Linked DNA regions of Saccharomyces cerevisiae S288C. The protein of the gene in region 2 binds, or shares a complex with, the protein of the main gene of each other region. Each region holds a gene or a part of one and is shown on either strand. Other genes may lie near its edges. A codon is read from its position in the direction of its gene.

What was found. Proteins that work in one complex are often made in the same cells at the same time.
Region 1: the proteins of HTB2 (region 2) and KAP114 are in contact, whole or in part, in a cryo-EM structure (PDB 8F0X), measured with the Saccharomyces cerevisiae proteins. Residues at the interface, in NP_009553.1 of Saccharomyces cerevisiae: Ser43 (codon at 3,278), Tyr46 (codon at 3,269), Val48 (codon at 3,263), Lys50 (codon at 3,257), Gln51 (codon at 3,254), Ile58 (codon at 3,233), Ser59 (codon at 3,230), Gln60 (codon at 3,227), Lys61 (codon at 3,224), Leu84 (codon at 3,155), Tyr87 (codon at 3,146), Asn88 (codon at 3,143), Lys89 (codon at 3,140), Lys90 (codon at 3,137), Ser94 (codon at 3,125), Ala95 (codon at 3,122), Arg96 (codon at 3,119), Gln99 (codon at 3,110), Thr100 (codon at 3,107), Arg103 (codon at 3,098), Leu104 (codon at 3,095), Glu109 (codon at 3,080), Leu110 (codon at 3,077), Lys112 (codon at 3,071), His113 (codon at 3,068), Ser116 (codon at 3,059), Glu117 (codon at 3,056), Thr119 (codon at 3,050), Arg120 (codon at 3,047), Lys124 (codon at 3,035); in NP_011273.1 of Saccharomyces cerevisiae: Asp155 (codon at 3,053), Glu160 (codon at 3,038), Leu202 (codon at 2,912), Gln203 (codon at 2,909), Ser205 (codon at 2,903), Ser206 (codon at 2,900), His207 (codon at 2,897), Asn208 (codon at 2,894), Tyr210 (codon at 2,888), Gln768 (codon at 1,214), Ile770 (codon at 1,208), Ser771 (codon at 1,205), Glu773 (codon at 1,199), Phe817 (codon at 1,067), Glu818 (codon at 1,064), Val819 (codon at 1,061), Ile820 (codon at 1,058), Arg821 (codon at 1,055), Gly822 (codon at 1,052), Glu823 (codon at 1,049), Ile826 (codon at 1,040), Leu853 (codon at 959), Pro855 (codon at 953), Asp859 (codon at 941), Leu860 (codon at 938), Ile861 (codon at 935), Ile862 (codon at 932), Thr863 (codon at 929), Arg864 (codon at 926), Ala867 (codon at 917).

Annotation. Positions count from the first base shown.
Region 1 is NC_001139.9:43,847-48,959, reverse strand, and holds KAP114 (karyopherin KAP114), read right to left. Parts: upstream 3,516-5,113; coding exon 501-3,515; downstream 1-500. Other genes in the region: anaphase promoting complex subunit DOC1, read right to left, coding at 1-347; ankyrin repeat-containing protein ANK1, read left to right, coding at 3,763-4,308; TAD1 (tRNA-specific adenosine deaminase), read right to left, coding at 4,451-5,113. UniProt on the Saccharomyces cerevisiae protein: Required for nuclear protein import and mediates docking of import substrate to distinct nucleoporins. Serves a receptor for nuclear localization signals. Mediates the nuclear import of TATA-binding protein (TBP) and of histones H2A and H2B.
Region 2 is NC_001134.8:233,229-239,895, reverse strand, and holds HTB2 (histone H2B), read right to left. Parts: upstream 3,405-6,667; coding exon 3,009-3,404; downstream 1-3,008. Other genes in the region: alpha,alpha-trehalase NTH2, read left to right, coding at 1-955; ECM15 (Ecm15p), read left to right, coding at 2,429-2,743; HTA2 (histone H2A), read left to right, coding at 4,104-4,502; UTP20 (Utp20p), read right to left, coding at 4,779-6,667. UniProt on the Saccharomyces cerevisiae protein: Core component of nucleosome. Nucleosomes wrap and compact DNA into chromatin, limiting DNA accessibility to the cellular machineries which require DNA as a template.

The DNA of each region.
Region 1 (5,113 bases), on a different chromosome or scaffold from region 2:
TCGCTCTGCCAAAACGTATCGTAGTTATCATCTAGAGCAAAGTCCACAGGATTCCCCAACTTAAAAGAAGAAGGCTTCCAAAGCGCTAAATGTGTCACGTTGATCATCCTTGCCGAATCCAATATTTCAATACCTTGGTGGAACATATGTTGCAAGTTCTCCGGTGTAGGATTCTGATACTGAATCTCTTCTTGGAACCCATTCACGTAGAGATCTTTGGTTGCCGCATCCACAATCCTGTCATCCAACACCAACACTGAAGGTTTATTATGGCAACTCTTAACAGGTTTGATAAGCTCTGAGGGTGCTAAATGGTCCAAGACTTTGTTTATTCCAATCGGGTCCATTATCTGACTTCTAAATCTCGTATTATTTTTGCCACCTTCTGTGGTCAGTTTATTTAACACTTTCTTTCTTTTATATAGACGGCGCTTATTTTGCCGCATTTTTTCTACTCTAACTACTTTACATCTGATATCTCCACGGCTTATGTATATAAGCTACAAAAGGGCTTCTGAAAGAACTTTACGTTCACTGTCGGATAGAGTCTCGTAAATACAATGGAAGCCACTCACATCTTTGCTTGCAACCTCTTTAAAGAATCTTACCAGTAGCTGAACAACAGATTCCTTCACGTCCATGAGTCCCGTTATATCGTCTGAATCGTCGTCTGCTTCTTCATCGACATCATCATCAATATATTCTTTCAACTTATCGTAATCGAGTACATCATCTACATCTTCCCAATCATCATTGTCGTCATCTTTATTAGCATTTACCACTTCTTGCTTAATATCGCTTGTGATCAATTGTTCTGGATTCGGTTGTTTACTTTGGAAGCTTAACTCAGAAACAAACAATTTAATGATCTTGGTATAAAGTGGAACTTGTACATACCTGTCTGGCATTTTCTTAGCCATTGATCTTGTAATGATCAGGTCCCCTTCGTATGGTATCAAGTTACCATTGACAACCACTTTCTGTAGCCTTTTGTCGTTCAGGAAGAAAAGGTTGCTCAAAGCAACGATATTTTCTTTGATTCTTTTTTCACCTCTAATGACTTCAAAGGCTTCTATCCATTTTCGCATCACCAATGTCAAAGCATCAGTATTGTCAATTTGGAAACTAGACAAAAAATCCACCGTTTGTTTAGGATCATTACACGTTAAGAAGCATAATACAGAAAGAAGGTTTTGCTCAGTAGAAATGTTTTGTGTCTTAATTAACCTTACCACAACGGCTTCCAAAATTCTTCCTATTAACGGTTGGATTTCCTTTGAAAACCTTGTGAATATGGCAACTACCAATGGACCGACGTTCATAGCGGCTGAATCCGATACCTCCAAAGACAGCAGCCTTTCTAGAACCTTCATGATATCCATTAACCTTGGCTCCATGGCTCGTGTATCTGTGTTGAAAATCAGGTAGCTGAATGCCTCCGTGGCTAACTGTAGGGTCTCATCTTCAGTAGAGAACGCTAATACTTTTGCTAATGGTTCAAATAGGTATTGATTTATTTCATCTGGTAAAAATCCATCGTTGGGTTTTTTCTTCAAAAAAACTGTGATGAATTCCAAGACTAATGATAGCAGGGGTGAGTATCTATAATTGTTTGCATTGTTGGAATCTAGCACATTAATAAATGATGGGAGACATAATTCAATGTAATTTTTGTAATTATCCATATTGATATTATCCAATAGTTTCTCCAAGCATTCTTGACTTTGTACAACGACCTGTACATTTGCTGGATCCTCGGATGAGATCGTGAACACAAGATGAAATTCAGCCTGTAAAATTTCCTTTCTTGAATGAGGTTCTTTCGGATTGTAGCTAATGACTTGACTTAATACTTCCATTAAAGCCCCATTAGTGTCCTCTTCGGCATCACTACTAACCTGGTTGATTATTCGAATTACTTTTTCCTGGGTTTCTGAGCAGACCTCTGGTCCAAGGACTGAATCTAGTTCGGCAAAATAACAATAGTACGTAAATGCTATTAATGTTGCGGATTTAATGAGCTCTTTATCAGATTTTAGCGCCAAATTAAGACTTTTTGCCAAGAATGCAGATGTCAAGGGTTTGATATCAGGTAATGCATCTATAAATTTGTCTAGTACTCTGGGAATAGTCAAAATTGCACGCGCCAATATTAATTCTGGTATTTCTTGTGATACTAAGATATTTTCTAACGTTTTTATTAAAATTTGCAAAGATTGATCGATATTTTCACCAGTTATCTCATCATCATTAAGCAAAATACACTGTAAGAGATATAGTAAAGATTCTAAAGTTGAATAATTACACGTGCTGTGTTCTATATCGTTGGAAACAACTTTGAAAATTAGGGAAAGTTGAGGATTGGGTAATGAAGTAAAAAATTCATTGGCTTGATCTCTAACATTATATGATGCTGCTAGGCCTGTTTCCTTCGATACAAATGTATTGAAATCGCTTGTCCATATCTCTCTTGTCTCAGAACTTAGCTGACAAAGAATGGTTAAAGATGTTATAATTTTGTTCATCTCTTCAACACTAAATTGCAAAGTGCAAACACTAGTCAAAAATTCTACAATATAAATAGAACAATCATGAACTGTTTCTAAAAGGGGTTCACTTTCAGTAGTTTCGACATTTGCATTTATATGGGTAACGTTTTCCAGATCTTGGATTGCCATTATTTTGAACTGTTTTTGTAATTCACTTGAGAAATGCTTTCTAGAGAAATCATTTTTAATAAAAACCAAATTCTCGTATATAATGGATTTAAATTTCAACTGAGAAATAACATCTACGTTTCCAAAATTCAAAGTCAACAATTGTCCCAATATCTGTAAAGAAGTAGCTAAACATTGGGAGACAAAACTTTTTCGTGACGCCTCATCATACTCATTATGGGAGCTCATTTGTAGAAGACATGCTTTAAGTAGCTTCAAAGCAGCAATTTTGGCTATCAAAGTAGAAGTTTCTGTATTGAGTACTTTGAAAACGATCTCCATTGTCGCCAAGCCAATTCCGCCTTCAAAGAACATTTCTTCAGATACGACATCATCGTAAATTTCATTCAATAAAGACATCGCATTTAATGAATGCTGATGAGAGATAGCATCATAAATAACTGTTAAAAGCTGCGGCCATTGATCAGGAAAATCAACCGCAGATATCTGAACAATACAGTAAGATGCACCATTTTTTATTTTGGTATTTTCATTGTCATTTAAGCATAATTTCAGTAGCACTTCTCGGATAAAATCTTTAACATCTATTTCGACGTTCGATGTAGAACGGTATGATTCAAATCCTGGACTCCAATACATGGTGATCAATTTTCTTAACGACAATAAAGCAAACTGTCTCGATTCTAGAGAAGCTTCGTGCTGTAAGGCAACGTTTGCCAGCGCTTTAAACACTTGAGATGCATCGGAATCACACCACTGTAACAATTGCGTTTCCGCAACTTCTCTAGTGTGTTTATCAGCTGATTGAGCACCTATTATCAATTCATTAATATCCATTTTAATGTGTTGATAGTGTTACAATTACGTTCAAGATTTTCGGATCGTGTATGCAGGTCATATACATCCATATGTATCTTTTTTTTTTTTTCCTAGTATACCCAAGGTATAACGCGTTGATAGAAAGGTTGACAATAAATTCATTATATAGGGGTCCTGTGAGGTAGTTTCTGAATCCCAGTGAAAAAAGTCATAAGTGAAAGAAGTCGAAGTTTTTCACAAAATAAATTAGTTTCTTTTTTTGATCATGAATACTGAAGGTGCTTCTTTAAGTGAACAATTGCTGGATGCAGCTAGAAGAAACAATCTGGATCTTTTGGAGACCGTATTTGATAGCTTAGATAATGATCCTGAGAAGATTGCAAAGCTAATTAACGAATCCAAAGAACCACTGGGGAATACAGCGTTACATTTATGTTGTAAGTATGGATCCTGGGAAGTTCTCGACAAGATTCTCGATCAAGACGGTGAAATCGAAATAGACCCACAAAACGACGTTGATGGCGACACTCCGTTACATGTTACTGTCAGATACAGTCAAGAGGAGCCTGAGCATGGAACTTTTATTGCTAGAAACTTAATTGAAGTGGGTGCGGATCCTAGGGTGAGAAACTATAACAATCAAAAGCCAGTTGATTTGGTTCATGGTGATGAACTGGATGAATTAATTGACCTTTTGCAGGGTGCCGAGTTAGCGATTGATAGTACCAATGGATCAGGTGATAACAATGAGGATGGGGAAATGATAGATGATGGTCCATCTGACGATGACGAAGAAGATGATAAAAAATGATAAAATATGTGATGATAATACCACAGAGAGGGAAAGATAGATGAACTCTGGATATATAGATATTTCTACTGTGTATATATTTCTTTAAGGTGCACTAACAAAAAAGTGTGCATATACGCATATTCAACAATATATATATATATTACTTCACATCATCCGTTCTGGTGGGTATCCAACCATCGGGAGATAAAATGTTCTTTATTGCGATAATTAACTGGCTTCTCTTTTTTTGACGAGATTTAAATTCCAAATAGCTTATTCCTTCATACTCTGGTCTTATTTTTTTGAATAGTTCCCATTGTGCAAACCGGCTTACTTGCGATTGACAGTGTTTCCTCAGTGGTTTCGATGATTTGGTATAAAATCCATTCCTCACGCCATTAAGAATCGCTTCTTCGGTGCTAAAGTCATCCATAAAGAGCTTGACACTACACATTAGACCAGGAACATCCTCCTCATCCAATTTATCATCATAAAATGGTTTGAGGCAATTCAGGAATTTAATTTCATTATCTAGATTCGGTAGACGAGTGTGAAATGATTGCTCTAGATGATGTTTCGTTTCATCTTCTAAATTAGGAATCACAATGTACTTTAAAAATACAGGTTTTTCAAAGAGTTCATAATTTAAACAATTCAGTACCGACGACCGTTGTTTCATTAATAATTTATCAGAACAGGATTTAGATAAAGTGATATTGGAATCATATCTTCCTGGTTTAGTCCTAACGACATTTCTTCTATTGAAATTCAAGCGTCCCCTCAATATTGTTTTCACACTACGGTCGACGTATTGAAATTCGTC
Region 2 (6,667 bases):
ATTACCGTATGCTGAAAAGTACAATGTTACTCTGGAAAAGCTTAGGTACCTTTATAACGAAGGCATGATTAAAGAACCCAAACTGGATGCATTTTTTTTACATGATCGTGCCGTGAGAGAGTCAGGACATGACACGACTTATAGGTTTGAAGGTGTATGTGCATATTTAGCGACAATTGATCTAAACTCCTTGCTCTATAAATATGAGAAAGATATTGCTTTCGTCATTAAGGAGTATTTTGGTAATGAATATAAAGATGAGAATGATGGAACGGTAACCGATTCTGAACACTGGGAGGAGCTAGCTGAACTGAGGAAAACAAGGATTAATAAGTATATGTGGGACGAAGATTCAGGGTTTTTCTTCTATTATAACACGAAACTGAAATGCAGAACGTCTTATGAGTCTGCAACGACTTTTTGGAGTTTGTGGGCTGGTCTTGCAACTGAAGAGCAAGCAAAAATCACAGTAGAAAAAGCTCTTCCTCAGTTAGAAATGCTCGGCGGACTAGTTGCATGCACAGAAAAATCAAGAGGTCCTATTTCTATTGATAGACCGATCAGGCAATGGGATTATCCTTTTGGTTGGGCGCCGCACCAAATATTAGCCTGGAAAGGTTTATCTGCATATGGTTATCAACAAGTAGCTACAAGATTGGCTTATAGGTGGCTGTACATGATTACAAAATCATTTGTTGATTATAACGGAATGGTGGTAGAAAAATATGATGTGACAAGAGGGACTGATCCGCATCGCGTTGATGCGGAATATGGTAATCAAGGTGCTGATTTTAAGGGCGTCGCTACAGAAGGCTTTGGTTGGGTGAACACAAGTTATTTGCTCGGATTGAAATATATGAATAATCATGCAAGAAGGGCTCTCGCTGCTTGTAGTCCACCATTGCCATTTTTCAATAGTTTGAAACCCTCTGAGAAAAAATTGTATTACCTATAATATTGACGAACATATGTAAATAAGATATATGTTATATTCTTCTTTCTATCAATAACCATGAGATTGTGCCTCAGTAATATTTGAGACGATTTAGAGTAAGGTCAAATATTATTATTAATCAAGTTGTGTAAAGGCTCATTTGTGAAGGTTAGAATAGTAATCGATGATTTTCAAGTAAAAGTGTTTGAAGGGCATTTCAGTAACATCTTCAAACTAGGAGTTTGTTGAGACAAAAAAGTCTGATTTTCATAAGATCATAACTTACGCTTTGAAGATCGTTATGAGTACCTTGTAGCTTGCCAGATCTTCTTGCTTATTCTTAAGCTCTTGGGTAGTACTGTATAAGACTGCTTGACATCGGGAACACTATCATTACCGTGTGATAGAATTCTCGTACCAAGCCGGTTCACCTTTGCGTGGTCTAGTGCATAGGAAGAATGACTAATAGAAAGCTTTCATTTCTATTAGTGTCTTAAATGCGAAGAAGGTATGGGAATCTATTACATACATGAAGAATATAGGATCTGTATATCGTCGTCACCGACGTAAGGTTTTTTTGTCAATTCTCGGTGAACAATTTTTTGCAAGAAATATATTGATACTTCTTGTTGAAATATTTTTCTTTTTCGGAAAACAAAAACATAAAATAATTATTTAAGAAAAAAAATTAATTAATAAATTTAAATAGAAAATCTTTTTTACTTAATAATAATTAAATAAATAAGTCACATGATTTATGTAGGATCAATTTGCTCAAGATTAATTTATTATTATTGATATTAGTAGGTGCCAGTTGAATAGCTATATTTTCAGTCTGTTTGAACGTTCTTTTTTTCATTTTCTGCTGAAAGCAAGTACTCCTACTTTTATTACTTTACATGTTATCGGAGGCCTGCACAGACACTTGTATCCTATACTATCAAGGTAAATATGATTGATTGATCCTCTTGGGAAATGGGATTTTAAGTTTTGTTAGCATTCTGGTTTGCCAACCTGTTGGTAAAGCACTATTTTTCAAGCTTTTGCAACGAGATTTGTCTCTTTGATTTTTTATTTATGATTTCTAACTTTTTACTTTTAGTTAAACTATTAAAGAATAATTTTCGCAAGGTACATAGCGATTTAAGTAGTTCAGAAAAGAAATTATTTAAAAATTACTCGCTCTCTTATTTGAAATGAAGATGGTTTTCAGACAAACTCCTACACAAGCTTGTTACTGGCTTTCAGTCCGAAAACAGCTCCAAACCCTTTAATAAAACCTTTCGTTTCTTTTACTTTTTATTCGAATTATATAGCTCTTTGACATTCCTTTTTTAGTATGATTCAAGCTCCCCTCTTTTCCACCCCGTGAAAAACAGAATATCATTAACCGGGATTCACTGACATCGTCAAAAGGAGAGATCAAGATATTCAGTTTTTGTCATTGCCGTCGTGATCATTAACTATAAAGCACATAAACTACAAGTTTAGAAAATGCCCAAGATCTTTTGTTTAGCGGACGTGTGTATGGTCCCTATTGGCACCGACTCTGCTAGTATTTCTGATTTTGTTGCACTCATTGAAAAAAAAATCAGAGAAAGCCCATTAAAGAGCACTTTACACAGTGCAGGAACAACAATTGAAGGGCCTTGGGATGATGTGATGGGTTTGATTGGCGAAATCCATGAATACGGTCATGAGAAAGGATATGTTAGAGTACACACTGATATTCGTGTTGGGACTAGAACTGATAAGCACCAAACTGCTCAAGATAAGATCGATGTTGTTTTAAAAAAAATTTCTCAATGAATGCTCGTGTAGTGAACCTAAATAGGGTATATCTTTAAGGAGAGTTTAAGAAACAATTTAATAATAACTGTTTGCAAAATATCTTTCCCAATTTTTTTTGTTTATAAAGTTATATATATACATTTATACAACTCCCTTCGGAGGCTGATAGACTAGACCCTTCCAATCATATCTGGACAAGTAACAGAACCCTAATGTTACAATATATAAAAAATGCCACTAATAAAAAGAAAACATGACTAAATCACAATACCTAGTGAGTGACTTAGGCTTGAGTAGAGGAGGAGTATTTGGTAACAGCCCTAGTACCTTCGGAGACGGCATGTTTAGCCAATTCACCAGGTAAGATCAATCTAACGGCTGTTTGGATTTCTCTAGCAGAAATAGTGGATTTCTTGTTATAAGCGGCCAATTTAGAAGCTTCAGTAGCAATTCTTTCAAAGATATCGTTAACGAAAGAGTTCAAAATAGACATAGACTTCTGGGAAATACCAGTGTCTGGGTGAGTTTGCTTCAAAACTTTGTAAATATAAGAGGAATAGGTCTCCTTTCTAACCTTAGATCTCTTCTTACCATCGACGGAGGTTGATGTTTTCTTGGCAGCTGGCTTCTTTTCAGCTGGAGCTTTGGAAGCTGGTTTCTTTTCGGCGGCAGAGGACATTAGTTGTAGAGTAAGTTGTTGTTGGTTTGAGTATAGAGCAATCAGAAAAAATTAACAAGAAGAAAGTAAAATTTTTAAAAAGCTAAATAAATAAACAAAACCAGTCAGCAAAAAAATTTTACACATATACCATGATATATAATAATATATTTAAAAACCTGTGTTATGCTCAAATAACGGTTACTGATCCAAAACCTTATATATGACGGCAAGTGTCTCACTGTTGCATTACGCGATGTTTCTTTTCTTTGTTCTTGTAAGCGCGATTTTACCAGAACTAGATGGCGCTCGTGATCCTGAAAACGGGGAGAAATTTTGAGAACACCGCTTTATTAGGCGAAGCGGTGGGCACAGCTCACGCGTAAGGTGTTCCCATTATTTCTCAAAGTGATGCGAATTTCAGAGAACACATTAACCTGGGGGCCATAAACGCGACGTGCTACCATTTTCGTTACGTATACTTAGGCCAGAGATTACAACATGACTACTAATATCAAACATAACTCTATATATAAGGGATGAAGATGTATGCTTTCTTAGAATTTCAAACATGTTCCGTTAAAGTTTTACTTTTCGATTTCAATTTCGACTGCATGATGCTTTTCTTAGGTAGTTTTTTGTTATTAAATAGTATCATAAATTCTTGTCTTTTTACATAAGAATTAGGAAAGTACAGAACAAGAGCAAATTTAATATATAATGTCCGGTGGTAAAGGTGGTAAAGCTGGTTCAGCTGCTAAAGCTTCTCAATCTAGATCTGCTAAAGCTGGTTTAACATTCCCAGTTGGTAGAGTGCACAGATTGCTAAGAAGAGGTAACTACGCCCAGAGAATTGGTTCTGGTGCTCCAGTCTATCTAACTGCTGTCTTAGAATATTTGGCTGCTGAAATTTTAGAATTGGCTGGTAATGCTGCTAGAGATAACAAAAAAACCAGAATTATTCCAAGACATTTACAATTGGCCATCAGAAATGATGATGAATTGAACAAGCTATTGGGTAATGTTACCATCGCCCAAGGTGGTGTTTTGCCAAACATTCACCAAAACTTGTTGCCAAAGAAGTCTGCCAAGACTGCCAAAGCTTCTCAAGAACTGTAAGAACTGAGTTGAAAAGAAACAAAGCAAATCAAACATTCTTGTCATTTGGGGTTTTAAAGTAGGTCATATGAGGAAGACTGGTATGTCTTTTATCTAACAGTTTTATAAATAGCGTCGTTTTATTAAAGACAGTGTATAGTATTACTATTAATAAAGAAAATAAAAAACGTATCAAGTTTACGGTTTTACTTACGGAAATGCTAACGTACTACAGCTTTGACGTTATAACTTGGATTTTTTATTCATTAGTATACATGTTATAAAGATATATTACAGCTAGGCTCTCTTTCTTTTGTTACGTCTTTGATAATACCCATTTTCATCCTTTTCATGCTTTCTCTTTTCCCTCGATCTCGCATGCTTTCTCAACTTTTTATCAGCAGAAATTTGTGGAGCGTTAACAGCCAGAATTGCCCTTTTAGATCTCCTTTCCTTTCTTCTTTCTAATACGGTCTGTTTGACAGCAGTGTATATTTTTGTAAAATCGGATACTTGCAATTTGTCTTCCAGTATTTTTAAACATTCGTTTGAAAGAGTGCGTAGTTCTTCCTGTTCTTCATCAACTGCTCTTGAGTAATATGTTTCTAAATAACCATATAGCGGCAATAATATCTTTTCCCCTTCTGCAATTACTTCGTCTTCGTCCAGAACTTGAACTAATAAGGCCAATAACTGAATACACGCCTTCTTCGACATAAAAGAATCCATACGATGTTCATCCGACCTGATAATACCACCAATTCGAGTTACCATATAATCAATGGCGGTAGTATATTTTAGATCCTCTCCAGTTTGTTTTGATACATCCATTATGAACGGCGTGCGTTGCTCCTTCCATAGGATACTGATATTAACTAATGTTTTTATTGAGACGTTCGCAAGATTCTCCGGAATAGAAGGCGCACCTAATTGGTGAAGAATTCTTGTTGCAATGGTTTGAATTTCCAGATTGGTTAATGATATCTCCAGCTTATCCTTATTGGCTATGAGTTGATGAACAAGATTTGCCGCCGATTGACGGACCCATGAGTGCGGATACAAGAGACATGTGATAATACCATCCCATATGTCTTTGAAACCATGTTTATAAACGCTCTCTGTTGCTTCCATATAAGATGAGAACGTATTTAAAGCTGAGTATACCAAATCCCACTGATGTTCTGATCCTACCGACGTATCGCTCAAAATGTACCTTATACGCTTGATGGCAAGCTCGTCTAGCTCAATAGTATGTTCAAACCCAATACTTTTCAAGTAGACCTTATAAGTTCTCAACCCAAGATTTAAAAAGGATGCATTATCAACCTGTTTTAGCCAAGCGGCTATATATTTTTCAACAATTTCAAGGTCCTTATTTTCAAGCTTTGGAAGCATGGTGGAAATCAATACTGAAGCCATCTCACGGCATCTTGGCGCATCATCATTAAAAGAAACATTAACTAGCGCCAGAAAGAAGGAAGATGATAATTTGGATAGTAAAGCAGGATTAGCCTTTGTAATAATCAAATTGATCAATTCCATTACGGACTGACGGCCGGACTCGGTAGGATACTGTAAATTGTCGACCATAAATTTGAACTGCTTTTCTAAACGACCCTTACTTTGGTCATATTCCATTAAAAATTGGTAGTAAACGCTCCTGGATACATCCCTAATTTCTTTTGAGTGGTTTGTGACCATGATTTCCCTAGTAGTATCCGCAATGTCATAGAGTTCTGGAAGCATGATATGTTTTGAAACAAGTGCTTTTAGGAAATTAAAAGCAAGGCCTTGTCTGCTTGGTTCATTTAAATCTGGTAAGACCCTCCCTAGAACATAACTCAAAGCAGTATCCTTTAATGTTGAATCTGTGTGACGTATAAAGGCAGAAAGAAACTTTAAACCCATTTGGCATAATTCGCTTGAAGTTGAAGGAGAAACCTTGATAATATTTAGTACCTTCCTCGCACAGTTTTTGAAGATTTCACTAGATTCATCGGAAAAATCTAGCCTAATTAATGTAATCAGGATACGTAAAGTACTAATTACCACACCTTCATTTTCCGAAAGTAACGAATCTCTCAAAAATGGAATAAAACCCTCTAGGTGCGAGACAGTTAAAAAGGAGCGGTGTCTCGTTATTACGTTCCTAAGTAAGTCTAAAGCAAATTTTTGTAAAGTGCTGT